Alligator mississippiensis: one gene and its partners. Each later gene encodes a partner of the first gene's protein in a complex. Links are inferred from orthologs where the notes say so. Each region holds a gene or a part of one and is shown on either strand. Other genes may lie near its edges.

Region 1 (10,414 bases):
GATTCAAGGTGTATGTTATATGAGAAAGAACAGCTTGCTGCTTTGCCTAACTGTGGGAAGGGAAAGGGAAAGAGGAGACAACAGTCTAGGATCAGAAATGGACTTCGATTTCCAACCTCTGGGCACATTCCTGAAAGCATGGACTCCATCCCAGAGGGTAAGGAAGCCGGCTGTTGCACTCCTGAATACCCCAGGCCAGCCAGTCTGGAAAGCAGCACTTGTGTCCGCTCCAGAAAGGGAACCACCTTTTCCCATACACCCTCTCAGGTAGAGGTTGGTGCAGCAGCTAACAAGAGAGAATAAACAAGGAGTGGAAAGACAGGAACAACAATCTCACTGTAAGAATATTTTTGGGATAGGGAGGAGGCAGAGCAGCAAAACACAATTCACTAGGATTTAAACATTTACACAAAACTAGCATACTGTACCTTGTAGTAAGTTCCTAACAAGCAAAGTTGCTTGGCATGGCCTCTACTTACCGTCTCCCTCAAAGCTGATCTGCCCAGCAGAATGGTCCACAGTTCTCTGCTACTCCTGTCAATAAAGTAAAAAAAGTGTGTTATTTTGCTATCAAACACTGTTAAACAGCTAATGCGAGTCTAGGCAAGGTTCTTTGGGTAAATATGATATATTTTGTTAGACCAACTAAATAGTTGGAAAAATTGTTCTTTGCAAGCTTTTGGGCACAAACACCCATCTTTAGGCATAGGGAGAGTGACTATGCCTGAAGAAGGGTGTTTGTGCCTGAAAACTTGCAAAAAACTATTTTTCCACCTATTTAGTTGGTCTAATAAAAGATATCACATTTACCCAAAGAACCTTGTCTGCCTATGTCCTTAGACCAACACGGCTACAACCAACATCCTGAAACAGTGTCAGTCTATAACTTTCTAAAGTTGGTTTTAACTTAGAGCAGACTAAGTGGTAAGGGACCACGCACAAACCTAACCAATGGCTTTAAGCAAACCAAACTTTAAGGAAACCAAGCTAAATACAGAGACCTTTCACTAAGCTTTCTTTGTTGTTATGACCTGAATACCTCCATCCTTGGATGGAACACAAACTGAGCACAAGGTAAGAACATGCCCTTGTTTTCCTGAAGGCAAAGAACTGTCCTGACTCTCCACCATAGTTTAGGTAAGACTTGTTTCTATCCATTTCCCAAGCCCTCATGAGAAAAGCTTGTTTGTGCCAGAAGGTATTTGAGATCAAATCCTTATCCTACTATGGACTTCTCAGAAAGAAAGAAGAGCCACTCTAGATTGATATGAATAAAATCTAGCTATTTAAAATTGCTGTATTAACAGCATCTTCCAAAATGAAGCCCCTTTAGGAGTTTGGGGAACTAATGATCTGATGGAAGCATAACCCAAATAAAGTTTTAAATAAAAATCAGTACAAAATCACCATGCAAAAGCTGGCCGTCTAGAAAGGAACAAACAGAACTTGTGACATGTTTTTCATATGACAGTTTTTATCCAAGAAAACTTAATTGGCAATACTCTCACAATATCTAGAATAAGTTAGACATTGAAAATGGTAACTCTGAAGATGTCTATACCTTGAAGAAAACACCAAAAACCACCAACAGCATTGTGTTAGCTACGTTATGGCTAAAATACACACAGCCTGACTTGCTGCCAATCAAGATACACTTAGGATGGAAGTGTCTTATTTTGACTAAATTACCCTGGAGTTACTCCAGAATGAGGCAGACTAGAAACATCTTTTTCTCCTCTGGTTGAAAATTACTACTTCCTCTCAAATAGTAGAGCAGTAGCAAAATACCTGAACATAATTCCTTCACAAGTAATCAGAAGAACCAAGAAATGCAAAGAAAAGCAACACTAACTAAAAGCAAACTATTTACTTTGAGAATGCAATCTACAAAAAATATCACTATAAAGTTCAAATCCCTAAGTGTCTTTTAATACAGCAATGCTACATAATTGATTTCCAGTGTTACGGTTTCTAATGCACTCATTGGTGTAGTTTCTAGCTGCCGATTCCTTTCTAGTTAGATATACTTCATTCTATAAAAGCAGAAGAACCTGTCCTATTCCAATTAGCGATAAAATGTGTGTCACCCCTCTGTCCCGTGCAGAGCACCAAGACTACAGAATTCTCCCAAGGAGATACTCCCTCTGTAATGCATAACAGCAATATGGCTGAATCAATTCCACCCCATTTTCATTTCATTCAGAACTTTTCCAGGATTAAAATGGGGCTTCAACTCCTTCCAATTCACTTAAAGATGCTTCTTGGGAAAGATGCTATTGGGAAAGGAAATTTCTCTTATGAAGCATTTATAATGCACAATAGTGCTCCTATCCCAGGTGGTGCCTTGGGCATGATTATCCATGTAATTAATTAATATATTGAAAAAATAGTTGCTTAAAGTCAAAGAGTTTTGACATGTTACAAGCAAGATCAAAAGAACAGTAAAGATATCCAAAGGCTTAAAGTGTATATCAGCTCCTCAAATATCAATTTCATCATGAGACTACACATTTGACTTGAAAATCTGATCTCTGTCTTCAAGGTTTATGGCTCACTTCTGGAGATTAAAGCTCTAAGAACAGACTTTAATGTGCAGTGCACAGAATGTAATTTTTTTGCAACAGAACCAGAAAAGTTCTCTATAACGTGTTCTCAGTGTTCTACAGAACAATGGACTATTTGGTCCCGTTCTGGTGGTGTGTAAACTGAGATTTCCATTTGGCAGCAAAACTGTTTAAAAAGTTGCTCTATTTTTGTTAGCACATATTCTCCACTTAAGATTCTAAATGGACAAAAACACTAATATATCTAATTCACTGCTGGTCCCTGTGCCTCCTCTCACTGCTAAAAATAAATAAAATAAAATAAATTACTTTTTCAAGCATTTCAAATGCAAGGCTGCGAACAGAGGCAAGTTTACAGCCTGGGTACCCATTTGCATCATTCACAGATTCACCGAAGTTTAGGGTTGTAAGGGACCTCATGATGAGATCATTGGGTCCAGCTTCCCTGCTCTGGGCAGGAAAGCTTGCTCAGGTCAAATAACCCTGCAAAACATATGTCCACTCTTTCATTCAGGGATGAAAGAGTTTGTTCTTGTAGTCATCCTGCCCTGCTTTCTCTTGTAACCAGTTTACATCAAGTTTTGTGACTACTGTAGTACCATTAGGTTGCTCCCATTCACACCTCAATCAAGACCCTCTGGGCTAGGCTCTATTATATTCCACTCTCACACCCCAAGCAGCTGTGCAGCCCAACTCTCCTCAGCCCCAAGCCAAATAGAAGTCCTTACAAACAGAGCTGAAGTCTGAATGGTTTGATAAATTGCTGCTGTTTACCCACCCCAAAATGATTAACCACTCCTTTTACTGCTGGAGATGCACAATGAACCTCAGTGCGGCAGTTTTCAACCTTTTTTCATTTGCGGGCCCATATAAAATGTCAAAGGGAGGTGCGGACCGCTTGGACTTTTAAGTGCGTGTATTTGCCTGCTTTTGATCGATCATAATCATCTTTCACGGATCCCTTACATCAGGGGTGGGCAAAATGCAGCCCGCGGGCCAGATGCAGCCCACCAGGCCATTTATCCAGCCTGCAGAGCCCCCCAAAATTTAGAAAATTAATATTTATCTGCCCCAGGCTGCCTGTCATATGGCCCTCGATGGCTTTCCAAGACTCAGTAAGCAGCCCTCCACCGGAAATAATTGCCCGCCCCTGCTTTACACAGTCTGTGGACCCCCAGGGATCCAAACCCCACGTGGAAATGGATCTGATGTAGGCTGATGGAAACAGCTCCTGGGAGCCCAGGAAGTCCCCTCCGCACCCTCACTAGGAACAAGAACCGCTTTGATAAGGACCCATTTATTATGCTCCGGGGTCCGCACCAGGATCCAAGGGAGTTATACAAGACCTAGGAGCCCACAGGGCCTGCTTTCCCCCTGGCTCCCACGACGCCCTTGTTTTTTCAGGAGCTCCTCGAGGGAACGAGCTTCAGAAGTGGATTATGTCGAAGACCGCCAGACCCTGCGTTTCCCGGACTGCAGCGAAGGGGTGAATTGAGCCACCTCATGCAGGTGCACGCGGAGCGGAGCAGGGCAGGGCAGGGCAGGGCAGGGCAGGTGAATTGAGCCACCTCATGCAGATGCACGCGGAGCGGAGCAGGGCAGGGCAGGGCAGGGCAGGGCAGGGCATTTCCCCCCCGCCCGGCCTGCGGGCGCAGGCGGCACCGCAGCCCGGTGCGATGCAGCCACGGGGCCAGCCCCAGCCGGGCGGTGGAGAAAGTGAGTGGGTGCGTGGGAGACGCCTGGCAGCGGGGCACAGCGCCACCCCCTACCTCGTCGGAGCCCCCTGCTTGGGGGGACACCTAGCGCCCAGAGGTGATTTACCCGAGGGGTGGGGGGGGTCTCTGCTCCAGGAGAACAAGGAGGGTTTGGACGGGAACAGACAGCTAGAGGGGGTCCCTTGAACCCAGCCCGACCCCCCGGGAGGAGCCGTTGCCGGTGGGAGAGACTCCCGCCACCGCCGCGCGCGCTCCTACCTCGCGCACAGCCCGCCGGCCGCCATCTTCGCGCCCCTCTCACGTGACCCGTTACCCGCCGCTCGGGCCGGCACCTGCGTCACGTGACGGGGCCTCGCGCCCAGCCTGTCGCGGGGGTTCATCACGTGACGGACGCAGCCGGCAAGATGGCGCCGGCCTGTGAGGTGAGTGGCCTCGAGTCTGGTGCTGCGGGGAGGCGGCGCCATGGAGACGAAGCGGCTCGCGGGCGGGGGGCGGGTGTTCGCCTTTCCCCTCCCCAGTCCCTCCTCCGTCAGGGCTCTTTGCTGGCCGTGGCATTGCTGGTTGTCGCAGCGAAGAGGCGCCCCGCGGCCCTGCTTAGTCCCGGAGGCTGCTCCTTCGGGCGTCCTTGCCCCCGTCACCTGCCCCCTGGGTCGCCTCCGAAGTGGCTGCCAGGGCCACCGCTGTCCCCCAAAAACTCACTGGGGGAGTTAATGGAAGGAGGTAGAAGGAGCTCAGACAAACACTAAGCAGCGGAGATAAGGAAGAAATCCTGCCTTTTGTTTCAGTGGAGACGGGAGAGGAGCTGGAGAGCCGAGGTGCGGAGACAAAGCACGGCTGCTCGAGATGTCAGGAGCTGCAAAAGAGACGCCTAGACCAGCGGTGAGATTCAATGAGAAATAACGGCGGCCCGTGAGAGATGGAGTGAGCACAGAGGTGAGGCCACTGGGAGATGAGCTCGAGGAGACCCTGCCAACGAGAGGGCGATTTTGCAGCAGCTCAGAAAGTGAGCGGTGACCCTGGAAAGATAGGAGGGCAGGAATAGTGTGGCATCTTCTGTATGTGAGGAAGTGGAAGTATTGTGAGATGATGGAGCTTGGAGAGGTCGTGTTTGGTGAAACCTTTGCAATTCCCTTGTTCCTAAAACAAGGCAACGAAATCAGTGAATGATAAAGTCTTTTGTTATATAGTTATAGTATGCCCTAGATTGGAGTGGGCAATTCTTTGGGCCCGCGGGCCACATAGGTAGCTTTGGAGAGCTGCAGCTGCACCCTTCCCTCTCCCTACCCCCCCCCCCAAAAAAAACAACCCAACAGCCCGGAGCCCACACGCCCTTCAGCTCCTCCCTGCCACCGGCACCCAGCAGCAGCTGAGTTTACAGCCCTGGCCCCAGCTTGCCCCATACCCGCTCCGGATTCACCCCAGCTAGAGCGGACCAGCTCCAGACCAGGTGGGAAGTGTATGCAAACCCCCAACCACCACCTGCCCCACACCTGATCTGGACTGCCCAGCCACAATGAGCAGCAGTGGCAGCCATGCAGAAGCTGCTGCTGGGTGCAGGGGAAAAGCAGTCATATGTCACCCCACCTCCCTTTGCCACTGCCAGGCCTTTCTTGCTGCGACCGCTTGGAGTCCATGCCCTGTGGCTTCTCTCTGCTACTGTCACCACTGCCACCAGTATTGCCTCTGAGCAGCCCAGCAGGGCATTGGAGAGGAGCCGCAGGATAGCCCAGGTGCAGGCTCCAGGTGGCCAGCGAAAAAAGATGGGCACTTTTCCCCTGCACCCAGTGGTAGCTTCTGCACAGCCACCAACGCTGGCATCGCTGCTTAACATGGGCAGGCAGTCCGAAGCAGGCTGGGGTCAGGGCTGTGCATGTAGGTCCCAGCTGGTCTGGAGTTGGTCCACTCCAGCTTGGGTGAGTCTGCAGTGGGTGCAGGGCTGGCTGGGGTTGTGTGTGCAGGTCCCCACCAGACTCCATGGGGCTGAGGGCATCTGCTGCCACCTGGGCTGCCTAGAAATGGAGCCCAGCCACAGAACTGCCCCAGCCCTGCTGCGTGCCTGGGCATGGCAGGACATGCCACAGGCCAGATGGCACCTGGGCCAGGCAGGATTGAGGGACCTGCTGTGGGCTGGGCAAAGCCCCTCTGTGGGCCGTATTTCTTCCCCCCCACCCTAGGTTTCCAAATTACACTGTGTCTGGGTTGCACTTGAAGATGCTTATAAATCAGCATTTGACATCCAAGTGTATCCCTGTGGGGCTTTTTGAACAGACTTCTTGAAGTGAGGCTGCTAAGTGTCACTGTTGCATTGGAGCTGAGCTGGAACTTACAATCAGCCATATTCCTCTGTTGTATATCTCCTCCCTAGCTAGTATGTGAGGTACACTTTGCCCCTCTTGGAGAGGTCCTCACTCCTTATACAAATCTAGAAATGGCCTGCTCAAAGCTAGTATTGGGCAGAGGGGGGTAAAATTGGCACGGGTTTTTTTTTAACCTTTTTTGACTATATAAAACTTTTTTCCTGTATGACTTCAAAACTGATGAATGAGTTGTTGAACAGGGGGAAATACATGCATCTTGGCCTAGCTTTATAGCAGCAGCAAATATGAATTGATCGCTTAAAATAATTTTGTATTTCAAATCCTATGGGTATAGATATCAAAAGAACCCTAATGAAAATTAGAACTAAAATTATTACATTTGCAGTACAAAGTTTCCAGCCAATGAGAAAACTATCTAGACCCTAAACATCAATTATTTGAGTAACCTTTAAGAATGTTATTACAAGATATTTTTTCCTTAGCTTAAATAGAGTGAGGTACCACTGATAAAGTATGTAATATGTAAGAGGAAATAATAAATTCTGGAGAGGATGTGAAAGATTTTACCTCCTTACCAATGAAATTGTCAAGTTAAGGTAAGCTGTAGAAGACAGACTGGCAAGGACTTCTCTGTTTGATATCTTATTGGACCAACTACATGGTAGGGATAAGCTTAAAATGCATATTAAGATGACTGGGAGTTCACAGAATACTCTGGGATATTTATTTTGTTGCATCACAGATTATAGTTTTCCATCCAGATTTTAGATGTTCTTAATTTGTGTTGAATCTGTTGCTAACAGATTTGTGTTGACTCTTATTCAGTCAAAATGTCAGCATGGATCAAATTTTCAAGTTATTAGTTAATATTTCTAAAGCATGATTATTACTTAAGGGAGAGAAGACACTTGTATTAAAAGGCAGGAAAACTGTTTCCTTACAAAGAGACACTATAAATTTAATTCATACATAGGTTAGACTTTTATTTACTAAAATTAGGCTTACCATAATTAGAAATTTATCAGTGAGGAAGTTTATCTTTGGTGTGTTTACAGTGTTTGCTTTGTCAATACCCATTGCTGTTTGTTTCTTGCCTTTCACAAAATAAGAGGAGAGAGAAAAATATTTTTAAAAACAGGGAAATACAACTGTAAATTCACAAAAAATTGGAAGGAAGGAATTGGGAACAAAGGTAGGGCCCATAGAACATTTACATTTTTTAAATTGACTTTGCAGGCTGAATATCAATATCTGATTTACCTATTCTGGTTTATTTTATTTATGATTTGTGTTCATTTTACATACCAGTTAGTATGTGCTCTGTTTTTGTTGGTATATTTTAAACAACCAAATATTGCTGATGATTGGAATAGCATTATTCATCTCTATTAATACCAAAATCTTACCAATAATTATATCCATAATTGTTTAATTTGCATAGTTCACAATGTGTGTGTGTGTGCGCGCACACACGTGCATGTGTTTTAGGTTATATAATGTCATTTACATTTACAACAAACTTGTGACTTAAGGGGGATTTTTTTTGTATTTAAGTTATAAGTTACTGAAGTAGCTAAATGCATTTACCAGTGTAATTCTTTTGAGCATTGCTGCTTGTATTTGTGCACACTCCTTGCAGAATGCAGTGCTCACCTCCCTACTCTCAGTAGCGGAAAGAAAAATGTGACATACCAACTAGAGTTTTTAGTATTTGCATGTGAATAAAAGTGCTGTGAGATTTGGCACTAGAAATGGAAGCTGACTTGGACTTTTCTGATTCTTAGATGCCATGGAAAATGCCAGTTTATTTCCTTCTTGGTTTTATTTTTCTTGTACAGGAGTTGAAGCATGCAGCTGAGCTTAAGAAAATGGGTTGTTTTTGTAGAAGCTCTGAGTGTTCTTATAGTCTCTAATGTTGTTGTTTTGTTTATGTTTATAGGAATTGCAGTAGGATGAAAGTGAACTTCTACGAACGGACCAAAGACCGTATTGAAAACATTGGGATCAGACAATTATAACGATTTTAACATCACGGGACACAGCTGATTGGAACCATGTTACTCAAGCCAGTGCTTGTAGAATCTCTGGTTGTTTTCACCATTGTGCTGTGTGTGCACATGGTGGTGTGGGATCGGTATTCCTGGTGCGCTATTGCTCTTGCCATTCAGGCTTTTTATGTCCAGTTTAAATGGGACCGTCTCCTCCAGTTGGGTGGAGCAGTTTTCCAGTTCCGGACAACGGCTAATAGCGGCCTTCTACCAGCTAGCATGGTCATTCCACTGTTGGGGATTGTGATGAAAGAGAGATGCAAGATGTCTGGCATTGTGTATTTTGAACGTTTTGGCATAGTTGTGGCCTCCACTGGCATGGTGATAGCCCTCTTCTTATCTGTAATAGCAGTTGGCATCACAAAACCTGTGCCAACTAATACTTGCATACTTTCTGGTGTTGCTGGAAGCTTAATCATCTACACCATGAAACATTCTTTGACTGTTTCTGAAGTGGTAGAGGTTCTGGAAGTGCTGCTTATTTTTGTCTACCTCAGTATGATCCTGTTGTACCTATTGCCCCGCTGCTTCTCTCCTGGGGAAGCATTACTGGTCCTTGGGGGCATAAGTTTTATCCTCAACCAGCTCATTAAGCGCTCACTAAATGTGATAGAGGGCAGAGGAGATCCTATAGACTTCTTCCTTCTGGTGTTAGTGGTTGGTGTGGTCCTTCTGGGGATTTTCTTTACTGTTCTTTTCCTCTTCATGGATTCAGGAACTTGGACCTCTTCCATGTTTTTCCACATGATGACAGCAGTGCTTGGCCTGGGGGTCATCATGCCTTGGCTTTACCGGCTCATCCGAAGGAATCCTTTGTTTTGGTTGCTCCAGTTTCTGTTTCAGACGCAGACAAGAGTTTACCTTCTCGGGTACTGGACCTTGTTGGCTGCCTCTGCGTGCACTGTGGTTCTCTACCAGAATGCCAAGAGATCATCTGAATCTAAAAAGCACCAAGCTCCAACCGTAATCAGAAAATGCTTTCATTTCATAGTGGTGGCTACTTATGTCCCTGGGCTAATTTATGACCCTCAGCTTCTCTATGTTGCTGCAGTGTTATGCTTGGCAGTGTTTATCTTTTTAGAGTACGTGCGGTACTTCAGGATCAAGCCATTTGGCCAAATGCTCAGGCACTTGCTCTCTCTCTTTTTGGATGAACGTGATAGTGGACCTCTGATCTTAACTCATATTTACCTTCTTCTTGGGATGTCCCTTCCCGTGTGGTTGTTCCCTAGACCTTGTGCTCACAAAGGTTTCTTGTCTGGGACAGGTGCATTGGTTCCCTATTCAGGGGTCCTGGCAGTAGGGGTGGGAGATACCATAGCCTCAGTTTTTGGCAGTACAATGGGAGAAATCAAATGGCCTGGAACAAAGAAGACATTTGAAGGGACAATGACTGCCATTTTTGCTCAGATCATTGCTGTGGCTCTTATTCTCATCTTTGACATCAATGTGAATCTAAACTCCAGCTATGCTTGGATTTTAGGTTCTATCAGCTTAGTTTCCCTTTTGGAAGCCTACACTACCCAAATAGATAATCTCTTCTTGCCTCTCTACCTCCAGATACTGCTTATGGCTTAGTGATGGCAAGGAACAGTCACTTTCCTTTTTCCAAATAAGAATGGCAACAGGATACGCATCCCAGTCAAGGGATCAACAGAGGCAGTCTGGTACAAAATACTATATTTGGTACAGCAGATAAAATGGCTGAAGACAGAAATGGATTAACTCTTCTAATGTCAATTAACAATAAAGGTAAAGGCTTCTGTTGG
Region 2 (10,672 bases), on another chromosome or scaffold:
GTCTCCCCTACACTGTGCTGGGCCTAACATCTACCTTGATCTGAAATGGAAGGATCACCCTCTAGGGATGAGATGCAATGCGGTCTTCACACTTGATTCGTTCAAGAGCCTCTGGGTAGACACTAGCAACTAAGCTAAAGGTCACTTTTTCAGATGTAACCTAGCATACAATGCCTGTGGAAGAGGACACAAAGCACATAGAAACTCCTTCAGCAGACGTGTATACTCACTACATTCCAGAAGAGCTCATGTTTGGATGGATTTTCGCTGTTCAGAACTTCACGGACCATACTGTCCACGTCACACACGTGAAGTTGAACCCAGTCAAGGAGGTGAAGCAGGAGGTGACCAGCTGCAGTCAGAGAAAACATCTCTCCATTAGATTCTTGCTCTGCTGCCTGCTGTTTCCAGCTTCTAATGTTAGTAGGTGCACCCTGCGTTTCCTAAGAGCAAGAGATGGGGACAAGTCTGCCTATTTCTCTTGCTCATCCATATTATCATCTACCAGTCTCAAGCCCTAGCAGAAAATACACAAATATCCAGATGATGGAAATACAGCAGACTCCAAATTAAACTCAGAATTTTACAGATTGAAAAAGAACCCTTTGTCTACTAACTTTCTCTTTCACCCTGGCAAAGTTACTGAGTAACTATAGTGGTGTCATTTGCAAAAGACAAGTGCTTGAAGACACAGAAGGATGAACATAGATAAACCTTACACTGTCTACATGATGCACAAACTTATGAATGTGTTTATTTTATTCCCAATCTGATTTCTCTTAGCCTGAAATGAAGAAAAAAGCTTGTACCAAGTAATGAATATGTTCTCCAGCAACTAGTGTCAACACTTTGAAAAATCTCAGTATGTGAATGAAAAAGGGAAGTCAGTTTATGCAAAGAAATATGCTTCTACAAGCCATTTGGATTGGAATCCTAGGGTCAAATTCTCTGCTGAAATTGAGCTGAAGTGAATGAAAACACACTGAAGTCACAGGAGTTGCATCAGATCATTTGGCCCCTAATGGGTAACTGATACTTAGGAAGTATATAGAGTTGCTGGTTAAGAATTTAAATAGCATTTGTATTTGAGATTTTTCCTTAATTTTTGATTGTCAGGTGAAAACAAAGTCTGTTTGATGGCACTGTAATTAATTAAGGTCAGGTAACTAGAAACAGTTCCATTTCTAGGTTAAAATACACAGGGCACAGAAAGCAGGAACTGGAAGGAAAAAGGCAAATGATCTATTAATTTAGAATTCGATGCAAGATACAGAAAGTAATTCTTATCTCTGGCCAGAAGAAGGGACAGGTTTGTTGTTACTTCCTGGCATTAATAGTATGATTGCTGAAGAGATGGTAAGATGTAATAATTTCTACATGCTTTTCTAAAACAAATAGGTACATGAACAAAAAAGCCCCTCTCAATATTAACATCAGTATAGGTCTATTCTCACCTGGTGCCACTTCAACAAAGAGAATCTCACAGAGATTCCAAATCAGTTCCATTGCAGAGAGAATAGAGACCTGAGGAAAAACAGGAACAGTTACCAATGTATTAATCACTCCCATGCTTCCTAGCAAAAGCAAAGACATTTGAATAACATCCTCCCTCCTTATTGCTTAAGTTTCCTTCTTGTGGGTAAAAGAAATGGTTACTGACATTTAGAGAAGATGTGAATTACAAGGAGACAATGGGTCACCACATTTTCTTTATGTAATTGGGTTAAGTTTTAAAAGTTGTTTGTAAACTGTAATAGAAAAAAATCCTTCATTTGTGCTAAACACTGAATGGTACAGGAATTCTTTCTAACATTAATGCTCAAAGGCCTTGTACAGAAAAGCCTTAACCAAAAAGTGATTTACTCTGGTTCTGTAAAGCAACTCAGATCTGAATTTTAGAAGAGAAATACCAGTGATAAGATGCATCTACATCTAATACTTTTTGCTCTTCCTGGAAGATTGGTCTATTATTGCTGCAAGTTCACGGTCTAATTTTCAGGGATTGCTAGGAGACGCATCTGCTTATTTTGGATGTGGTATTTGAAGGGTGAAGTGAGATATTGGCTCACAGATTTTATAAAATGGTAAGATTGCCTCTCACCTGCAAAACTGGACATATACTGAGGTAATAGTGGGGGAGCCACAATTCAAAGGGGCAACTTTTCATAACTGTATAAATACATATAAATAAATGGCTCCTACAGCTTGTGTATCTGGCCATGTACAGCTGCGGGTACACAGAGCCAAATGACTAAAACAACCCAGATTCAGAACATATCACTGCCACAGTATGCTAGCCTTCGTATATTTTCTGGCAAGAGTTTACTTTCAGTTGTGACCAGGTTTCAAAAATATAAGGACTGTTTACCTGAGTGCTATACTGGTTGTGCAGGGCAGGATCCCGAGTTGAAACTGAGGAAGAAAAAAATAAATAGAAGTAGTCCAAACATTTGTCCAGACCTTTTAAACTGTATTTTAGACATGTCACACAGTGCTTAAAGGCTCATGAAGCAGAGTAGCACAGAAAAATAAATGACCATGAGTGATGCTATGTGCAAGAAAAAAACATGACTGGCAACAAGTATCATCATACTGCTGCAATCAGTCACAGAGAGTAGGGGCATTCCACTATTATAATGGTGCTATATTGTTGTCTGCTCTGCGGGAAAACCTGTTTCTAACCCTAAGGGTTCAGAACAGATCATAATAAAGAAACCACCTTTTTCATTCATGAAATGACAGGTGATTCAGAAGTCCAGCATTCTAAAAGGGACAGCAAGAATGACCCTTGACGCAGCTAGGTTAGAGTTGGGGTGCTAGGTTGCAAAGTATCTTGTGTGAAGAAAAATCAGCAAAACCAGAAGCAAGGTAAAAAAATAGAAAATGATCAGGTTTGCCAAGGAACTGAAAAATTTAAGAAAGGAATTGAAGAGTAGAGAAATAGAGTGGATAAGATTAAAAAGACGTAACCACAAGAGTAATCTTGCAAGTTCAATTAAAAAGTAATGCAACGATGTCTCAGCCTCTGTTCAAAAATCAGCATGGAATTTAGGGAGAAGAGCAGAACCCCCACTGACAATCAGAACAGCTTATTTTACGGTCATTTATAATAAAGAGTTGCAATAAGATTCAATGTATGGACTCAAACCTAGTCTGTTTGTTGTTAATGGAGAAAAACAACTTACTAGCCACCTGATGCATGTCCTCCATGCAGGCTCTGATGACTGACCGGTAGTTTTTACTTACTCCAACCAACCTAGCAAGAATAAAGAGGCCTTGTTTAGAGAGAGATGTATTATTGGCCATATGGCTACTGGACATTAGGATCAAGACCCTTCAAATTTTCTCTGCTCAGCCAGAAATTCACCTCCTGCACTGGAGAATCTAAATGAAGCAAGGGGAGTCCATATAGGTTCTGTCTGCACAAAATAATCTGCAGGCGCAGAACCTAACTTTATAAAATATATATTGAAAAGATTAGTTACGTAAAATTACTGATCAGCAGCAGCTCTGAGAACTTGAAACTCAGAAGTTTTGTTATTGGCTTCACTGCAAACGGACTTGTGTTTGATGTACAAACAGGAGCAATACGTTAGGCCTTTTTTGTACAGCATAATTATTAATGTACCACCTCCCTTCCTAACAAGACAGCCATGTGCACCAGTCCTAAGGGGATTGATCTCCTACCCCCTTGGCCAGGGAGGCGGCAACATTCATCAGCAGTAAAGGAGACTAGGCAATAATAAAGAGGAATAACAAAACCAAAATACATTCATTACTACGTTCAGTCAACAAGAGGCAAGTAGGTATTTATGTCTGATCACTTCAGTGACTCGGAGACACTTTAACAACGAAAGGGGACGTGCAAACATGCTACCTGAATTTTGCCTCAATAAGAGGATATTCTTGGGGGGGGGCGGCAAGAAAGCTGAATTGTCCTTTTTATGTCAAACTTATCAAGCATTTCCATCCACTCACTGTGCCTTCCTTGATTTCCCAGACAGTTCTTCCTCACTCCTCTGGAGCCCCACAAAGATGCCATGGGATTCATTGAAAAGTTTACGTAAGGTATGTAAGTATATGTCCTGATCCTTGCGAAGGACATAAATATAGGGGCAGCCAGGCCCTTTCTCCCCGTGTCCTGAAACAAATCATGGAAAGCCATCAGTTCATAAAACAACACGAGCGTTACCACTCTGCAGGGCAGAAGCACGCTTCTAGGCTTCACAAGTTAAAACCCAGGGTTTAACTGTTTTTAAGCGACACATGAGGATTAAGAAATGAGCCAGTAACAAAAACAGCGCGAGAGGTGCAGACCGACTGGATGCGATAAATATTCTGCTGGAGACAACTCCAAGTCGGTTCCCCTGTGATCAGTGTCCGAGTCCCTGCGTTCCTACACCTGAACGCCTACGGCTGATCAGCGCTGCTGGCGCTGAACTCTCCCCCTGCTCCTGCCCCGTTTGTGCTGCTGCTTCTGCCACGTGAAGGTGCAGTTTCCTTCCTTAACGGCCTCAACTCGGGGAGTCAGAGACGCCCTGAAAATCTCAGCTCCTGTTAAAACAAAACCTTAACCCTTATTTCTTTCTTTATTTATGTTCAGCATAAAATAGGGGGGGAGGATGGTAACCCTTATGTTGCTGAATAAGACGGAGGGGGGGGGGGTGCTAACCCACCTGCGCCGGGGAAGGCGGCCTCGCACACCAGCATTTCTCCGGGCCCCCACTGGAAGTGCAGCCCGCGGCCCGGCGCCACCCCCGGCACCACCTGTCAGGGAAGAACGGGGCGGTCAGGTCAGGCCAGGCCAGGCCAGGCCGGTGCCCTCCGCCCCACCCGCCCCGCCGCCTCCATACAGTGAGCGCCGGCTCCACATCCAGCTCCTCCATGGTGCCGCCGCCGCGCTCCAGCCCGGCCGCCGCGCGCCCTCGCAGAGGAAGGCCCCCTCCCGGCTGCCCTCCGCGCTGCCTGTCGCCTTCGACTCCGCCCCACGTTGCGAAGCCACCGCCTTCATTAACCTCCGAGAGTAGAAAGCGCTGTGGCGAGGAGGATGGGTTTGCTGGGCCTTAACAATTAGGTTTGTTTTGGGTTTTTTGGGGGGGGCAGGCGCGCCGAGGGCAGCCCCGCGCGACGGGCTGAAGGAAGAACCCCACTGGCCCTGCTGGAGAGCCGAGGGCCGGGCTCGGGCTCTGGGGTGCGGGCGGCTCCGTTCCGTTCTCCCCGCCCCGCCCCGCCGGCTCGGGGGCGCGGTGCTGTGCCGGTTGTCGGGCTGCACAGCGAGGCCTCCGAAACATCGCCCTGCTGGGCCAACGGGTGCCGCTGTCTTTCCCTCCTGTGCTGTTCCAGGTCCCCGCTCTGCGTGGGGCGCCTCGTGGTCCGGGCCGACATGGAGAAGAGATGGAAAGAAGACGAGACGGCCGCGAATCCGTTCTGTACGAAGCGGTGCGTCGCGACGGTGAAAAGCGAGCCCGACGCGTGGGAACCGCTGGATCCCGAGTCTGCTGCGGCGCATCAAGCTCAGCCGTTGGCGCTGGATCAAAAGGAAGCCCTGCCCGATCCCGAAACTCCCCACGACTACGACATTGGGAACTACGTAGACTGTAGGCATTCGATAAGCGATGAAATTAAGTATAAACTGCTTACCCAGCCGTGGACCCCTCATCCGAGCTATGAGTTCCCGGTGTATAAAGACTCGGAGAACACGTCGCGAAAATTTAATTACTCGTGGCTGATAAATTATCCGTTCGTATCTTATAGCGAGAAATGCGCGGGCGTCTTTTGTCGTGTTTGTGTGCTGTTTGCCCCAATACAGGTAGGAGGCCAGAAACTGTCTACGCTGGTTTCTCAGCCATGCAAGAATTGGCAAAAAGTTACGACAAAATTAAAAAATCACACTACAAAAAAGTTTCACGGAGCAGCCTGTTTGGAAGCACAAATATTCAGCGAATGTTATGAAAAAACCTATAAAATTCTCATACACACGCTGGATGAAGAAAGATGTGCCCAGGTAGAAGAAAACCGAAAGAAACTTGCGCCTATCATTGAGACTGTGGTGTTTGCAGGTAAAAACGGTCTGCCACTTGGAGGGAAGGATAACGGTGAATTGGGTAAGAACGGTGAGAGTAAATCTGAAAGCATTTTCCAATCACTTCTGCGTCTCCATTGTCAAGCTGGTGACATAACCTTACACGAACACTTACTAAATGAGCCCCAAAATGCAATATACAGTAGTGAAACCATTCAAAGGGAAATTATAGAAGCAAGCAATATCATCGTCAGAAGCAAGCTGGTACATGAAATAAATGAGTCGGGTTTCTTTGCGGTATTCCTAGATGATGAAACCACAGTCATTTCAAATGTGGAACAAATGTCTGTCTGTGTGCGATATGTCAAAGAAGATCCAGTTACAGTTTGTGAAGTTTTCCTAGGCTTTTTACCTGTTTATAACCTGACTGGTGCCGGTTTAGCAAAGGCCCTTTTGGATTTCTTGAGGGAATGTAGTCTAGATTTGACAAAATTGAGGGGGCAGGGTTATGATGGAGCCACCAAAGTGGCTGGCCACGTAAACAGTATACAGGCTCACATAAAATCTGACTTTCCCAAAGCTGCGTACAGCCATTGTGCATCTCATGCTTTGAATCTTACCATAGCAAAATCTTGCACAATACGTGGAATAGAAACTACCTTAGGCATTCTGAATGAAGCTATTGGATATTTTGAGGAGTCGGCCAAACGGATGAAGTACCTGTCAGATGCTATAAATGCCACGTGCCCAAAGAGCAGGCACAAACGCTTGCAAAGTGCCTGTGTTACTAGATGGGTGGAGCGACATGACAGTATCATGGTGTTCGCTGAGCTCTACGATGCTATTATTGCAGCACTGGAAGCAATGCAGACGGATGGTGACAAAGCTGTCAGAAATAAAGCAAATTTCTACTACAAAAGCGTATGTGATTTTGAATTTATTATCAATTTGACAGTTGCTGAATTCCTCTTAGGAATCACTCTTCCACTGTCCAAGGAACTTCAGAGGGTAAATGCTGACATTGTGGAATGTTTTGACCAAGTGAAATTGGCAGTTGAGGTTTTAGAAGGTAAGAGATCTAACTCTAATGCTGAATTTGCAGAAATATTTAATATTGCCCAGTCACTTGCAATTAAACATGACATTGAGGTAAAATTGCCTCAACTTGCAGCCCGGCAGCAAAACAGATGCAATGTTTCATGTGACAGTGTTGAGGACTACTTTCGAATTAACACTTATATCCCATTTTTGGACTTCATGATTCAAGAACTGGCGAGGAGATTTACATTGCACAGCAACACTGTAACGGATCTTGGCATTCTAATACCTCTCGTTTCATGTCGGTATCCATCTGAAAAGCTTAGCCGTGTTTTAGAAATGTATGGTGAAGACTTGCCAGATAGCAGGAATATGGTTTTGGAGGAATTTCAATTGTGGAAACTCAAGTGGCAGGGCAAGGAGGAAAAAGAAGTGCCAAGCACAGCCATTGATAGTCTGACAGACTGCGACAAGGGATGGTTTCCAAACATTCATATTTTACTCAGGATTCTGTGCACGCTTCCTGTATCCGCAGCTCCAGCGAAAAGATGTTTCTCTACTCTCCACAGAATTAAAACTTGGCTTCGTTCAGCAGTGGATGAAGAGCGTCTTAATGGACTGGCCATGTTGTACATAAACTCGCACATTAAAATAACTGTCAGTGAAGTGTTGGATGAACTGTCAAGACGCTCAAGGCTAGATTTTATTTTATTACTCTGAATGAGAAATGTACATAGCATCCTAATGATTACAGGACAAAAGTCTTTCCTAGTTTGTTGCCCTTTTTATACTTAATATAGCAACTGACTGCACATTCCAATAAAGTTGCATTTGTTTTTGTTTCAATCTTAAACTCAATAGTATAACCCTTGGCCCCTAGGATATTAGTAAAGTTTCTAGTTTCTTTGTAGTTGGAGAAAAATTGTATTGTTATATGTGATGATGATGCACCGCATCCCATGCTGGTTCTTGTGCCTAGATGCCCCAGGCAATTTTGTCTGTCATCCCATTGGTTATGGCCAGAGGAAACCAGTCATGGTTTATGCCTGATTAACCTCCATAGGCTGAAACTGGAGGCCAGTGTGGAACTATGGAACTACAGAACTCCTCTGGCCAGCTGGGAACACTGCCAGCACAGAAGGTCTAGGGAACTCAAGACCTGCCCAACCAAGAAAGCAAAAAGCAGGAAAGCACTATTTTCTGAAAAAGCAGAAAGTTGATGAGAAAGGGGGCATTGATTACCTTTTAAAGCTCATTCCTTCTACACTAATGTTGTGACTTGGGGAAAGAGGAGGTGTCAGTATTTATGAATGTTGATGTAAGAAGTTGGGAAGATTGCATGCAGTTTATACTCTGTGCACAAAACCATATTAATGCAAAGTGACGGTTATACAATCAGGCTTCCAGAGTTAAAAGTTGAGAGGTCAACTTTAGCCTCGCTCTTTTTGCTTATGCAAACCCAACCTCGGGCTTAATGTGGAAATGATTATGAAATTGCACATTGGTTTTTCTCCTGGAAGTAGCATTTCTGTGGAGTTCTACCCCTTTGCTCCTCTTCAACTCACTGAATTAGGCCATTGACCCCTTACAGACAAGGCACCAGCTTGTGCCACTTTACTATCACTTGGGTGCCACAGGTTTAGGTCTGTTGTGCAGTGTGACCTCCCTCTGCAGTGTGCTCTGGGTGACTAGACACTGTCATGTGTCTCTGTGATGGAGTTAGGCTCTCTTCTTCACAGATTGGCCAGTTGGCACCAATTTGTTGGTATGGTTGGCCAGTTGCCCAAGGATGAATCTTGATTCCTAGATTCAAATAGAATTTAAGCCTCCTAGGGAATCTGGGGGGGGCTTTGCTCTGCTGAACTCAGCTCTCACCCCTTAGCCTTCTTTGTAATCACATGTGTTTCAGCTCAGTTGATTCCAGGCAAGATTCTATCCTTGCTGCTTTCATTTCATGCTTGTTTTACTCTCCCTGTTGGAATTTGGGGCAAATTGTTCTGCCCAGTGTCTCCTGTGAGCTTGGACTTTGGAGTCTGTCCTTGCCATTCCGCAGAATGTCTGCAGATGGCTTTGGAGGGGAGAGTGCAGCGCTCCTCACTTGGAAGGAATTCTGTTTTAATTGAGAAGTTGAGAGAAAAATGGGGAATTATCCTAGCTGATCAGGAGATACAAAAGCTAAGAATGGAAGCAGACTTCCAGCATGCCCTCGAGCAACAAATTTTAATAAAGCTCTGGACTTATCAAGTGTCTGCTCCTTTGTGTCAACCAAATTTCTCCATGCTCTCAAAACTCCTCCTCTCTTTGGTACAATCCCAGGCCAACTCCCAAAGATCCTAAAATCTTTCATCTCCTGAACATTTGTATATTTTTAAATAATCCTTCTTTATTCTTTCTAGCTTCCCAATGCTTCCCAATGCAGTTAAGGAGAAAAAAACACCCAGATCCCATGTTCACAGGACTGTAGCAGGAGAGGAATCCTAATTTCCTTGGGTTTGTCCTTCAGTTTATACTCTGATGCCTCTTGCCACACATTTACCTACTCCCTGTCCAGAATTTGTCTGCTCTCATATCTGGGCTCCTCTTTTTCTTTCCATGATGCCTTTTAAATCTCTCTTTCATGTTGCCTTTTTCTCTTGTCCCTTCTCTCACTTGTATCTGGCTATATCATTGTATCCAGTCATTTTGTTCTCCCCCTGCAGTGCTAAATCCCTCCTAGAAAGGCAGGACAATCTTCATTGCACAGGGCTATTGCTGTGTGGAGTCCAGTGCTGGGCTTGAACACTTGAGAGGGTAACATTACAGTCCAGTACTGAGATGCACTCTGTGCTGTCTCTTTCAAGCCCTCCTGTCTCCTTTAGTGGTGCTCGTCTCATTCCACCATTTTGTGACCTCTTCTTCCATTGTCATCATTGGTGGCAGTCCCTTGATTCGAGGATGATCTCTACCACAGCTCATTGGAGAGTGTTTCCTGTGGCAGAAGCCTGTGTATGACTTCATTTAACCTGAGGAAGCTGGTGCACAAAAACAGCAGCCACACAATCTTCACAAGGTAGAGATCTGGACCCGGTGTCGGGAGAAACCCTGATGACAGGAGACCTCCGTTTTGGTGCAGCCGCCTTCTGTTTTTACAGCTGTTGAGATCCTAACACCTTCTGCCTGATCCACCATTGAGGACTTGGGGTTGGACCATAGTTTGTCTGGAACCTCCCCTCAGGCTTGTTCACTGTGAGTGATCCTGCCAGAAGTACAAAACTGCAGACAACATAGCTCTGAGGATCATTGGGACACACAAGCCTCTCTGCCACTACAAGGTCTCAGTCCACAGAGAGGATCATGAATATCTGTGGGGTCAAGTAGTACAACAGCTAAGTATCTTGCTATGGCTCCCAAGATGTGAGTGTGAGTCTTGTTCTGGACTTTTGCTAAAGGCTGTCCCTAACTGACCCAGCTTCAAATGAGTACCTAGTTGCTTCGGCAGGCAAATGGCACACGGGAGCCATGTCACTCCTTCGTGTACTGTTGGCTGTAGCGATTGGTGTGCCTTTACTGTGCTAGCTCACTGGGCTGCCAAGTTCAGTGAGACTTTTGATATCTTGTTGGTGCTTAGCAGTA
Region 3 (11,099 bases), on another chromosome or scaffold:
TTCCCTGACTTCTGATCATGCGCGTGGCTCTTCTCTGGACTCTCTCAAGCTTCTCCACATCCTTTTTGAATTGTGGAGCCCAAAACTGGACACAGTACTCCAGCTGCGGCCTCACTAAGGCCGAGTACAGGGGGAGAATGACGTCCCGGGATTTGCTTGAGAAGCATCTATGAATGCAAGCCAGCATTTTGGTCGCTTTACTAGCCACCACATCGTATTGCAGGCTCATGTTCATCTTGTGGTCAATGATGACCCCCAAGTCTCTTTCTTCCATAGTGCTAGCCAACATAGCACTGCCGAGCCTATAAGGATGCTGCGGGTTTTTTTTCCCCAAGGTGGAGAACCTTGCATTTATCGGCGTTGAACACCATCAGATTCTCATCCGCCCACTTGCTGAGCCTGTCCAGGTCAGCCTGGATCACCCGCCTGTCTTCTGGTGTGGATGCTTTGCCCCAAAGTTTGGTGTCATCGGCGAACTTGGCCAGTCCGCTTCTGACTCCAGTGTCCACATCATTAATGAAGATGTTGAACAGTATGGGTCCAAGGACAGAACCTTGGGGGACCCCACTGGTCACAGGACACCATGATGAGTGACTTCCATCAATTACTACCCTCTGGGTCCGACCCCGGAGCCAATTTTCCAGCCAGTGGATCGTGGAGGACCCAAGGCGACAATTGGCCAGTTTCACCAAGAGGCGATCATGGGACACCAGATCAAAGGCTTTTTTGAAGTCAAGATATATGACATCAATCTCTTCTCCCTTGTCCAGGTGATAGGTCACCTGGTCATAGAAGGAAATGAGAGAGGTCTTGTTTAACCAACCCGCAACAAACCCGTGCTGGCTATCCCTTAAGATGTTGGCGTCGGCCAGTCCATTAAGGATGGCCTCTTTAATAAACTTTTCTAAGATCTTCCCCGGGATAGAAGTCAGGCTGATGGGCCTATAGTTAGCTGGATCCACTTTCCTCCCTTTCTTGAAGATAGGCACCACGTTGGCCTTCTTCCAGTCTTCGGGCACTACACCAGAGCGCCAAGAGTTTTCAAAGATCTGCGCTAGAGGCTGGGCTATGATGCTCGCCAGCTCCTTGAGTACCCTGGGGTGAAGATTGTCAGGGCCGGCTGACTTGAAGGTATCCAGCTTCTCAAGATGTTCCTTCACAAGTCAGCATCAATGGAGGGCAGGGGATCACCCTCACCCAGACTTCCCGGCCCTGTAGCGGGCATGGGCATCCCATGGGGCTGATGAAAGACTGATGCAAAGTACCTATTTAATAGGTTGGCTTTTTCCTGGGCGTCAGTTGCCCCATCTGGTTCAGCAGGGGTCCAATGTTGCCCCTGCTTTTCCTCTGGCTCCCCACATATCTGAAAAAGGACTTTTTAGTGTCCGTGATGCTCAAAGCTAGCTGGAGTTCAGTTGCAGCCTTGGCTTTCCTGGTCTGCTCCCTACAGGACCGGACCAGTCAGAATAATCCTCCTTGGAGGTTACTCCCATCCTCTATCCTTTGTAGGCCTTTCTTTTTAGCCTCAGGAGTTCTGCTAGGTCCCTGGAGAGCCAGGGTAGATATTATTCATTGCCCAAATGTATAAAGTCATTCCTCTTTAAGAGTAGAATCTGTATGTCAGCTTCCTCCCAAACTCTGCCTTTACCTTGGGGGAGTTGCTGGGTCCCAACTCTGAATATTTACGTTTTACATCTTGTAAGGGTGTTTTGAAACTTAATTTGTAAAATGGCTTTAAATCTGTAACTGAAAGACCTCATCACTGTACACAAGTAATCTCAAGTAAAACAGTACCCAAACTTGCAGAAAAGTACTGCAGAGTTGCATGCTTATTTGTTTTTAAAAGATAGATTGATACTTTTGCCTTTAAAAGGAGGTGGGAAAAAGCTTGAGAGAGTTCTGGATAGATCAGTAGGTTTCTGTCTTGCTCATGGATTACATCTGTAAATTGCTGTTGCAAGGCACGTGAGAGTTAGAGATGATAAATAACTTAAATTTGGGGAAGACTTAAGTAGTATAGATAAAAATCTTAGATTTCTGGTGCTTTGCAAACCTTACTGCACATTTCTTTAGACTTGGAAGCTTTTCTTCTCTTGTAATTGAGGCCAAGCCTCTCTCCAATCCCCACCCTCTAAACCCCCAGTGGTTATTCAGTTTGAATGAGAGTTTCTGTGGGTTGTTTTTTTAGTTGAAATCTGTCTGTTTGAGCAACAATACACTATTCCTCTTTGAAAAAGAAAAATTGGATAGTCTGCATACAGTGTGTGTGTGTGTGTGTGTGTGTGTGTGTGTGTAACATTTTTCCTTCAATTGTAATGCAGATGCAGCTAAGCATGAAGATGCATAAAAATCCTTGAACTTCCATCCAAACTTTTTTTCCAAAGAATTTCATACATGAATGACAACAGTCTCTAGACCTTTTGTGTCCAGCTTGTTTAGAGAATAGGAACAGGAAAACTGGAGCAAAAGCAACTTACACAGTTGTAGTTCTTTGAAGTTTATACCTGAAAGCATATCTAACAAGATTAGAGAAACAGAACTCTTAATCAAATTCAGTTCTTATACCTGCAGTTGGTCTTCCTCAATTACCTAATTTGCTTTTCTCTTTTTAGTGTGTGTGCTGTGGTCAAGTTGGATTTTGTTTTTTGTTTTTTAAAAAAAACAAAAACCTGTTCTATTTTTTTTAAATAACATACTTATGATTTTAAGGTTCCATGGTTTCTCACTTTTTTTCTCTCTTCCAGGTTGGGTAGAAAAATGAAATGGCACAGCTGAGTCCATTTGTACTCTGATTTCAAATTTGTGTTACACTGTGGGTTTTAAACCCTGTAGGAAATCTTCATTTTGTTTTGAAAGTGGTTGTCTTCATACAAATATTTAAACGGCTATGGAATCCGTTCATGTAGCCTTAGTTTCATTAAATTCTTAAATTTATTTGGTAATCTAAAACCTGGATAAGATGAGGACCGGCTTTCCACTTCCTTTGGGGCTAGTTTGTATCAGGGCTGTATAAGTTTTTCTGCTGAAACAGTATGGTAAAGGGACAGAATCATAGACTAAACGAACTGACTAGCATTTAATTCCATGCTCCTGTAACATATTTGAAGAGGAAGCTCTGCAGAGTGCAGACTTGCAGCTTCAGTGTTTTCTACTTTCACTGCCACCACTTTTTGAAAGGACCATAGCTGAACTAAAATTATTGGGAAATGAACTGTTTTTTCAAATGCAGCATCTCTGCCTGTCTATTAAAAGATCTGTGTCTGATTTTAAAATGAATTTGCAGTTGTAGTTATTTCCTCCTTTGTTCAGTGTAACTGAACTTTTCACATTTTAACCACATCATACATACTTCCTTAAGACCTAGCAGGAAGTTGATCAGTTGCTTCAGTCATGCTGGGTATACATATTCAAGAATAAAAGCTTCTATTCTTCTCTACAAAAAAACAGTAATGTTTCAGGTGAAAGAGGAGTATGCACTTCAATCCCTGAAACTCCTAGTTACCCATATATTAAATTCCTATGTTTATACTGGGCACAATGAAGCTTCCTTCTCTTGTCCCTCCCCCTGCTACCAAATGATTGTTCTACAGTTTAAGAAAATAGAATTTTTTAGTCTCTAGCACAGCATGTTACTTCTCTAATTTATAAAAAACTAGGAAGGCTGCCCCACTCATCTCTATAACACCTAAGAGTAGTAGGCTTGTGAGCCAAAATCCAGATAGCTGGGTTCCTACATTCTATACTGTGTAAATGAAAGAGTAGATTCAATTTTAAAATAAAGTTGTCACATGCACTTTCCTTCACTAGTATAAGACAATATATTAGTTTAGAATCTGACATTACAAGCTTTTGATGGTGTATATAATTTGGAAGGGGAGGATGGTAAGATCCTGCACCCTACCTACTGCCAAGAGTAAGGGAAGCAACACAATGTGCTTATTGCTTGCTTGTACTGGAGAGAGTTCAAGTAAATGTTTTGCTTCTGCTAGTTTTCCTGTGTTCTTGTATGATGGATTTCTTACTGTTGGTTTTTAATAATCATTTTAATGGCTTTTTCTTTGGGAGAGCAGGTATTTTTCTTAGCAACTCGTGACTTGTTAAAGCAGAGATAGACAAAATGGGTGATCCGGCTAGCAGCTGGACTCCATTTCCTAGCAGCCCCTGCCTGTACGGCTGGGGCCAGTCTCCATGGACACCCCAGCAGCCGATTTGCTGTGATCATGGAAACCCTGGCCTCCCATCGAGACCAGCACTGGCAGGGCAAATAGCAGGGTGCAATGCTGCTCTGGAGCTGGGCTGGGATCTTTCAGCGGTGACGTGATCCTGAGCCAGGGCAGAGAGCTGTGATCTGCAGCATGCATGCCCCGGACTGGGGTGTGCAGGTCACGGCTCTGCCCTGGCTCTGGATCACGCTGTCACGGCTGAAAGATCCCAGCTCAGCTCCAACGCAGCTCTCTGCCCTGCCAGCAGGGGAGGTGCCGGGGGTGGGGCTTGAAGCAGCTAGAGCAACCCCTCAATTCCCCACAGCCACCCCTCCCAGGGGTCTCTATGGAAACCCTGCCCCCTACTGTCATGGGGCAACTGCTGCTGGGTTCTGCATGGAAAGTGGCTCCAGCCACAGAGCAGGGGCTACTGGGAAACGGAGTCCACTGCTGGCTGGATCTGGCCCATGGGTTTGACTTTGCCTGCCTGTGTTAAAGTTTTATTTTCATATGGTGTAAGACTCGATGATAGGTGCCCCAGATGGCTCAAAACCCCTTTTGTGCATCTCGTCTTGAAATGTACTGGCATAATTGTGGGTGATCCTTATCTATTAAAAATTGGTCTGATTTAAATTACTTGGAACTAACTCCTGGCATTGTCCACCAGCAATGATAAACTATTATCGGGTAGGTGTAACTAAATAATGTAAAAAACCCACTATTTCTTATTTACTGTGCTTAAGGACAACCAAGCATGGTTCAGGTGCTTATGGCTGAAGTAAATAAATTAAAAAAAAAAAAAAAAGCAAAAAGGTAGGGAGGGGAAGGTCTCAACCAATGGGGGCAGAGGGGGAGGGTGGGGGGTTTGCCTTCCTTTGCAGAGTTGGGGTATTGCCCTCTACCCCAGATCTCTTGAACCCTTTTTTTTTTTTTTCAACCCTTGTAAATGTTGACAATATTTTACAGAACTAGGATGTTGCCTGCTTTAGCGTAGGATGTTAGGTTTGTGCTTGTGCAAGGGTAGTGAAGGAATAAAAAGGGTAGTGGAGTTAACTTACGGTTTTGTCGGATGGTTTGGATAGGGCCGGACTAGCTAACCCTGGAAGTCCCCATCCCTCCTGCTTTCTCTAGGATCCTGTCCCTAAAGGGCTGACGTAGCATCTTCACCCCTCTCTACTCGCCTTGTTCTGCTGCAATAATGTTAGCCACCAGCCCCATCGGAGTGCGAGCTTCTGTGGATCGTGTACCTAAATCTGAAGCCCTCTGGCTTTAGGCTTGCACTAGGATGCCTGCCAGTAGATTTGGGACTATCTGAATTCCTAGAGTGAGAGCCCGCGACGGAGGATGCCCGCCGGTTGTAGCATCATGCATGGTGTTTTGAAGAGATTGAGTTCTGCCTGCTCAATCAATGAGGTTTTCAGAACGATTTGAGCTCTGACCAATTAGTATGATTTGGCTGACTTGATCCGGAACACGAAATATATTAATGGGAGAAAAAAAATCAGTGCAAACCTGTGCCTGCAACAAGCAGGCTATGCTGCCAGAGGAGCTCTGAGTGCAAGATGCACTGAACTCTGCAGGCAGGAGTGACGCAGGGGGCAGCCCCCCGGCCCCACCTACTCCTAGAGGCGGGCGTGCCCCAGCGCTGTTTGCTGCTCAGGCCTAATGCCTGGCGTAAGACACTCTTGAGAGGAGCATTAAGCTTCACTGACAGCCCCCGACCCCCAGCAGGCCGCACAGGAAAGGCGCCCCTTGCCCCAGAGCTGAGGGACGCAGCCCACCCGAGCCACCGCAGGCTAATGTGCACATGCGCGCACCCACAGTTCCGCCTCGTCCATCGCAGGCAGCAGCGCGCAGGCAGGAGGCGCATGCGCCTTCTGCGCGCGGCGCCGGTGCAGGGTCAGCTTCCGGTGGCGGGCGGGTGCTTCCGGAACGCGGGAAGGCTCAAGTAGTGGCCACGGCCGGGGCTGCCGGCATGGACTGGTGAGTGCCTCTCCTCTCTCTAGCCAGCGCCGGACGGAGGTGGCCAGGGGCTCCCATGCCCGATGCGCTCAGGGCGGAGGGAGGCGCGGGCTGTGCAGTAGCTCCCCCCCTGGCCTGGGCTGCCGCAGGTGGCTGCGCTGGCGCGGTCTCTCCTCAGGGCTCGTGTCGGAGGCTTCCGCTTGGTCTCTTGCGCCGGCTCCAGGAGCTCGTGGAGGGGCTGTGCCGGCCCTCGTATGGTGCCCCCGCCGCAGGGCCGCCCTCCCTCAGCGGACTGACAGCGGGGCCGCGGTGTTGGCAGCTCGTTCCCGGCCTGGGCGAGAGCCGCTGCCACCGCCGGTTTCCCGACCAAACAGCAGGGCGCTCTGCCAGCGCGCGTTGTATCTTCTTGTGCTGGTGGGGAAGCACCCTTCTTGTTCACACACGCACCCTCTTGCTAGTCTGCGTTAGTTGACACCGTGCGTTTCAGTGCCCCTTAGCGCTAGGAGGTACATGTGGGAGGGAAGGAAATGTGTTGAAGGAGGGGTGTACCCTGAAAGCAGCATCTCTGGGAGACTTAGCCTTGAGGCAAGTGCACAGTTGAGGAAAGGGGGAGTGAGAGCTCTGCAGGAGGATGTAAGCAGGCGTAGCAGTGTGGTATTCCTGAATGCAATGGGAGCAGGACTGCGGCGTCCTCTGGGTTAGGTTCAGAAAAAAGCTATGAGAGTGACTATGTTTAAAGGGTTGAAACTGGCTCTGAGGCTAGGTAGTGCACTTGCCAGGCTAGGTGACTGGCTCTGAGTGCAAGATGCATCCAGAGTCTATTAATGGACAGCACTGAGTCAACACAGGGGAAGGTGACCAGTGGCATCCCTCAGGATTCAGTGCTGGGACTAGTGCTTTTCAACACGTTTATCAGTGATTTGGATTTGCATATGAAAAGCAGACTGGCGAAGCTCGTGGATGACACCAGATAATGGGGGAGCACAGTCACACTGGAGGACTGTGCTGGGGCTGGGGATATAGGACAGGCCTGAACAGGCTTGCAAGGTAGGTGGATCAAAACCTGATGATCTTTAACACTGAGAAATGTAAAGTGCTCCATCGTTATTCCATTGAGGAATAATCCACAGCACACTTATAGGCTTGACAGTGCTATACTTGCCAGCACCGCAGCTGAAAGAGATCTGGAGGTTGTAACAGATCACAGAATGAACGTGAGCCACAAATGTGATGCTGTAGCTGACAGAGCAAATCAAACACGAGTATGCATCTACCAATGTATCTCAAGCAGGACTAAGCCTGTTCTCCTCCCACTCTACTAGGCCTTGGTGATACCATAGCTGGAGTACTGTGTTCAGTTCTGGGCGCCACACTTCAAGAAGGATGGGGAGAAGCTCGAGGTTGTCCAAAGGAGGGCTACATGCATGATTAGAGGTCTGGAGAGCAGGTCATACAAGGAAAGGCAAAATGACATAGGACTGTTCAGCCTGGAGAAAAGAAGACTTAGAGGAGCCTTGGTGGCAGCCTCTAAGTATATCAGGGGTGCACAGCAGGGCCTGGGGGAGCATCTGTTCACCAAGGGATCCTCAAGGGGAAGGCAAGAAACGACAGCCACAACAACAGATTGAAGATCGTTTGAGATTGGACATAAGGAGAAACTTCTTCACCATTCAAGTGTTGAGGGTCTGGAACAGACTCCCCCCAGAGGTGGTACAGTCACCTACCCTGGAGAGCTTAAAAAAACGATTTGACATGCACCTTGCTGGGGTCATCTGACCCCGGCAGTATTTCCTGCCCAAGTGCAGGGGAGCTGAACTCAATGATCTTCTAAGGTCTCTTCCAGCCTCTAACATCTATGAAAAACTGCCAGGGGTTTTAACAAGGGTTGAAAAAAAATGTGTTATCAGAGTTCAGTTTATTTGGTTTATATCAGAGAAGGCAATGAGGTTAGGGCTATCTGGGGAAGAGGTTTTGAGTGTACACGTACCTTGTAGAAAAAGCTACAAGGAGGCACGGGGATCAGAAGTTGGGAGCTCACATAGCTTTAACTAGAAATGAGGTGCAATGAGGGTAGAACCGATGGAACAACTTATCTGCAGATATGGGGTAGTCTGTCATGTGATGTCTCTAAATCAAGGTGAGGTATCTTTCTAAAGGAATGTGGTAGTTCAGGGGTGTCATTGTAGGGTGGATCTGGCTTGCAGAGCTGTGTCATCTGGCATATGGGGCTCCTGAAGGGGTTGGGAACTTGGGGGTGAGCAGGGGTGAGGCCTTCCTCTGAGTTTAAGAGTATGAAGTCCCACTGGGAATGTGTTTTGGCAGGGTGAGCAACAGCTGTATTAAGCTTTGATTCCCTGAAATGTCTGAGCCTCTGCATAAACTGCCTGTTTAATGCCACCACTGCTTTGCCCTGCTGCTGGAGATCTGGATCCAGGAGCCCTGCAGTCCAGATCCAGCTCGGGGTGGTGTGGGGGAAATGAGCCAATCAACTTTGACAGCCCTGCTATAGTTCAAACAAGCTGAGCACTCGGATCAGGAATTGCTGTGGGAGTTCCTTAGGTCTGTGCTGTATAGGAGTGTCTCAGTGTGGAGGCTGGTCTCTTCAGGCCTTTGAACTTACTCATCTAAGTGAAGTTCCAGTTTTGTCTGTGCATATAAGTTAACTTCTTGGATTCTGAAGCTTCCCACAGAGTCTAGGAACTTTACAAATATTATGTATTTGGTGGTCTATATGCAGTTTGCATTTCACAAGCATTTTGCTTTATGGGAAAGCTAAATCTTCCCTTCTCCTTAGCACAGGTCAACTTCATGGGCCAAAGATAAATCAAAATATTTGGGGAAAGAATCAAAGGTGTGAGTTCACTTCATTCTTTATTTTAAATATCATGTCTCATAAACCCATTATGTGACTTGTTTAAACTTTTTCAAAAACATTCTGTTCTCATGTAAAATCAGCTAGTATTAGAACTTCAGCATAAATGTTCAAGTTTGTCAAAGATGTTAGTTAAAATTGGACTAGCTGTGGGAGGGACTACTGTGCATCTGTTAGAATATTTCCCATGAGTGTGAAGTTAGTTACTTAATATTTGTAGCGTAATCTTTTCAGCACTGTGGAGAACTTGTTTCTTCTCAAGCATTTCCCTCTTCTTTTAAGTTAAAGGACATTGCTGGATAGAAACAACCACAAGAGTTTGGGGCGGGGGGGGGGGGTGAGGAGAGGGGGTTATTTTGAGAAAGTAGTTTCTTTTTAATTTCATAAAATACTGGCTACACTTATTTACTTTTCTAAAGTATTTGAAAGTAGTTATTGATCGTACAATCTAATTAGCAAAAGAAAATAGAATTCTTCTCCCATAGTTTGTCCTGCTTAAATCTGTTTATTTGTATTTGTTTGTTTACTACATTTCTGTTTTGTAGGACTGATTTTGGAAATGTGGCATCCCCACAAGATGCGGAGATGACTAGGCCTGCTCGAAAACAGAGTTCTCAAAAAAGAGTTTCTAGTATCCTTTCTCTGTCAAGGTTTTTGCGTGTTTGTGAAACCTCTAATATTTTGACTGCACCATGGAATAGTTATTTTTTCTTGGTTTTGGCTTATAGCAATTATGGCTCCCATGAGATCTAGTTAATTTCAACTGCTATAGAGTACTGTATTGTATTCCTTGAAATTATGCACATTTGAAATAACACTAGTATGAAACTTGCATTTTCTTGTCCTGTACGTTCATAATATAAAGGAACATCACTAACTTTGAAATATCACTCACTAACTTTGAAATACCACTTCTAAGACCTTTAAATCTACTGTTCAAAAGTAGTGTGTGTTTACTGGTGAAAGATTACATAGTAAAAACAATCCCTCTGTTGTACTTAGGCTTTCAACAGCATTTGTATTTTGTCAATTTTACTGTATCCAACATATAGCCAGTTATTCCTATTTCATGCATGTTTGTCAAGCTGAAAGAGATAGAAAAAATTGGTAGTGAGAATTCGGAGTAACACCTGGAATGTTTTAATTCTGTCTTTTGTGTTGTTATTTTTAGATTCTAGTTCAGTTTCCCTTCAAAATTTTTCAACATTATTAGAAAACTTGGGGGTTTTGATTTAGCAAATGAATATAATTGACTATGGAAATGGAAATGTTAATATTTCATTTTCACTATAGCTATTTTATTGTTAGAACCATTTTGTATAAATTTAATGAATGCAATAGTAATTATCTGATTTTGATGGTAAAAAATTCTAGTGCATCTGTTCTTTCTATTACTTTCTGGAACTACTGCAAAATTAGCTTAATAAGGTGGTGGCCCTTTTTGTTGTTCCATTTCCAAATCATCAGGCCAGAAGTAAAATTGACAGGATTCATGTCGGTTTCCTGTTGCTGATATTGCTTGGGAAATGTGCAGTATAAGCAGGCAGGGTACTGTGAGCAGTAGATGGCAGCTCTGTTCCAGCTCCAGACCATGCTGTCTCCACCACAAGATCCTGGTCCCAGAGCAGCTCCCTGCCCAGCTGCACACCCTGCCAGTACTGCATGGAAACCTATGGCCCTGCCACTCCTGGAGTCTCCATGGAAATCCAGCTACAGCAACACAGGCAGGGGCTGCTAGGAAATGGGGTCCGTTGCAGACCCAATGCAGCCCGTGGGCTGGAATATGCCCACTCCTGGGTTGGATGTACATACCTGAAGTGCTTTGCAATTTTTTTTTAAATGGTAGTAGAAGAGATAATTTGCTTATCTGATAAAGTATTTCAGTAGTAGTTCTGTTATTAGTAAATATGAAACAAAGTTTAGGAGACTTTTTTTCTTAACTTGTTCAACAGGTCTTGCATCCTTGGATGACAGTCCTGGTAGTGTAACACCAAAGAACCAATTGGTTCCCCAAACTCCGGTATCATTATTTCATCACCCCTGTAAGAATCCTTTTTCTCCTT

Evidence for each region. The genes of interacting proteins can lie anywhere in the genome.
Region 2: NUP188 (region 1) and NUP85 share a complex: the UniProt entries of both Homo sapiens proteins name them as parts of the nuclear pore complex. The link is inferred for Alligator mississippiensis from reciprocal best matches to the Homo sapiens genes NUP188 and NUP85.
Region 3: NUP188 (region 1) and NUP107 share a complex: the UniProt entries of both Homo sapiens proteins name them as parts of the nuclear pore complex. The link is inferred for Alligator mississippiensis from reciprocal best matches to the Homo sapiens genes NUP188 and NUP107.

The regions. Positions count from the first base shown.
Region 1 is NC_081835.1:58,083,163-58,093,576, reverse strand, and holds the start of NUP188 (nucleoporin NUP188), read right to left. Parts: upstream 4,634-10,414; 5' UTR 4,564-4,633; coding exon 4,538-4,563; intron 535-4,537; coding exon 480-534; intron 235-479; exon of another isoform or gene 150-234; coding exon of another isoform or gene 117-149; intron 1-116. Other genes in the region: DOLK (dolichol kinase), read left to right, coding at 8,652-10,223. UniProt on the Homo sapiens protein: Component of the nuclear pore complex (NPC), a complex required for the trafficking across the nuclear envelope. Required for proper protein transport into the nucleus.
Region 2 is NC_081831.1:12,342,707-12,353,378, reverse strand, and holds the start of NUP85 (nuclear pore complex protein Nup85), read right to left. Parts: upstream 4,937-10,672; 5' UTR 4,887-4,936; coding exon 4,854-4,886; intron 4,768-4,853; coding exon 4,677-4,767; intron 4,142-4,676; coding exon 3,979-4,141; intron 3,257-3,978; coding exon 3,186-3,256; intron 2,413-3,185; coding exon 2,369-2,412; intron 1,525-2,368; coding exon 1,455-1,524; intron 353-1,454; coding exon 231-352; intron 1-230. Other genes in the region: 52 kDa repressor of the inhibitor of the protein kinase, read left to right, coding at 5,384-7,780. UniProt on the Homo sapiens protein: Essential component of the nuclear pore complex (NPC) that seems to be required for NPC assembly and maintenance. As part of the NPC Nup107-160 subcomplex plays a role in RNA export and in tethering NUP96/Nup98 and NUP153 to the nucleus.
Region 3 is NC_081827.1:69,364,748-69,375,846, forward strand, and holds the start of NUP107 (nuclear pore complex protein Nup107), read left to right. Parts: upstream 1-6,163; 5' UTR 6,164-6,177; coding exon 6,178-6,185; intron 6,186-8,958; coding exon 8,959-9,015; coding exon of another isoform or gene 9,016-9,017; intron 9,018-9,581; coding exon 9,582-9,667; exon of another isoform or gene 9,668-9,686; intron 9,687-10,988; coding exon 10,989-11,078; intron 11,079-11,099. UniProt on the Homo sapiens protein: Plays a role in the nuclear pore complex (NPC) assembly and/or maintenance. Required for the assembly of peripheral proteins into the NPC. May anchor NUP62 to the NPC. Involved in nephrogenesis.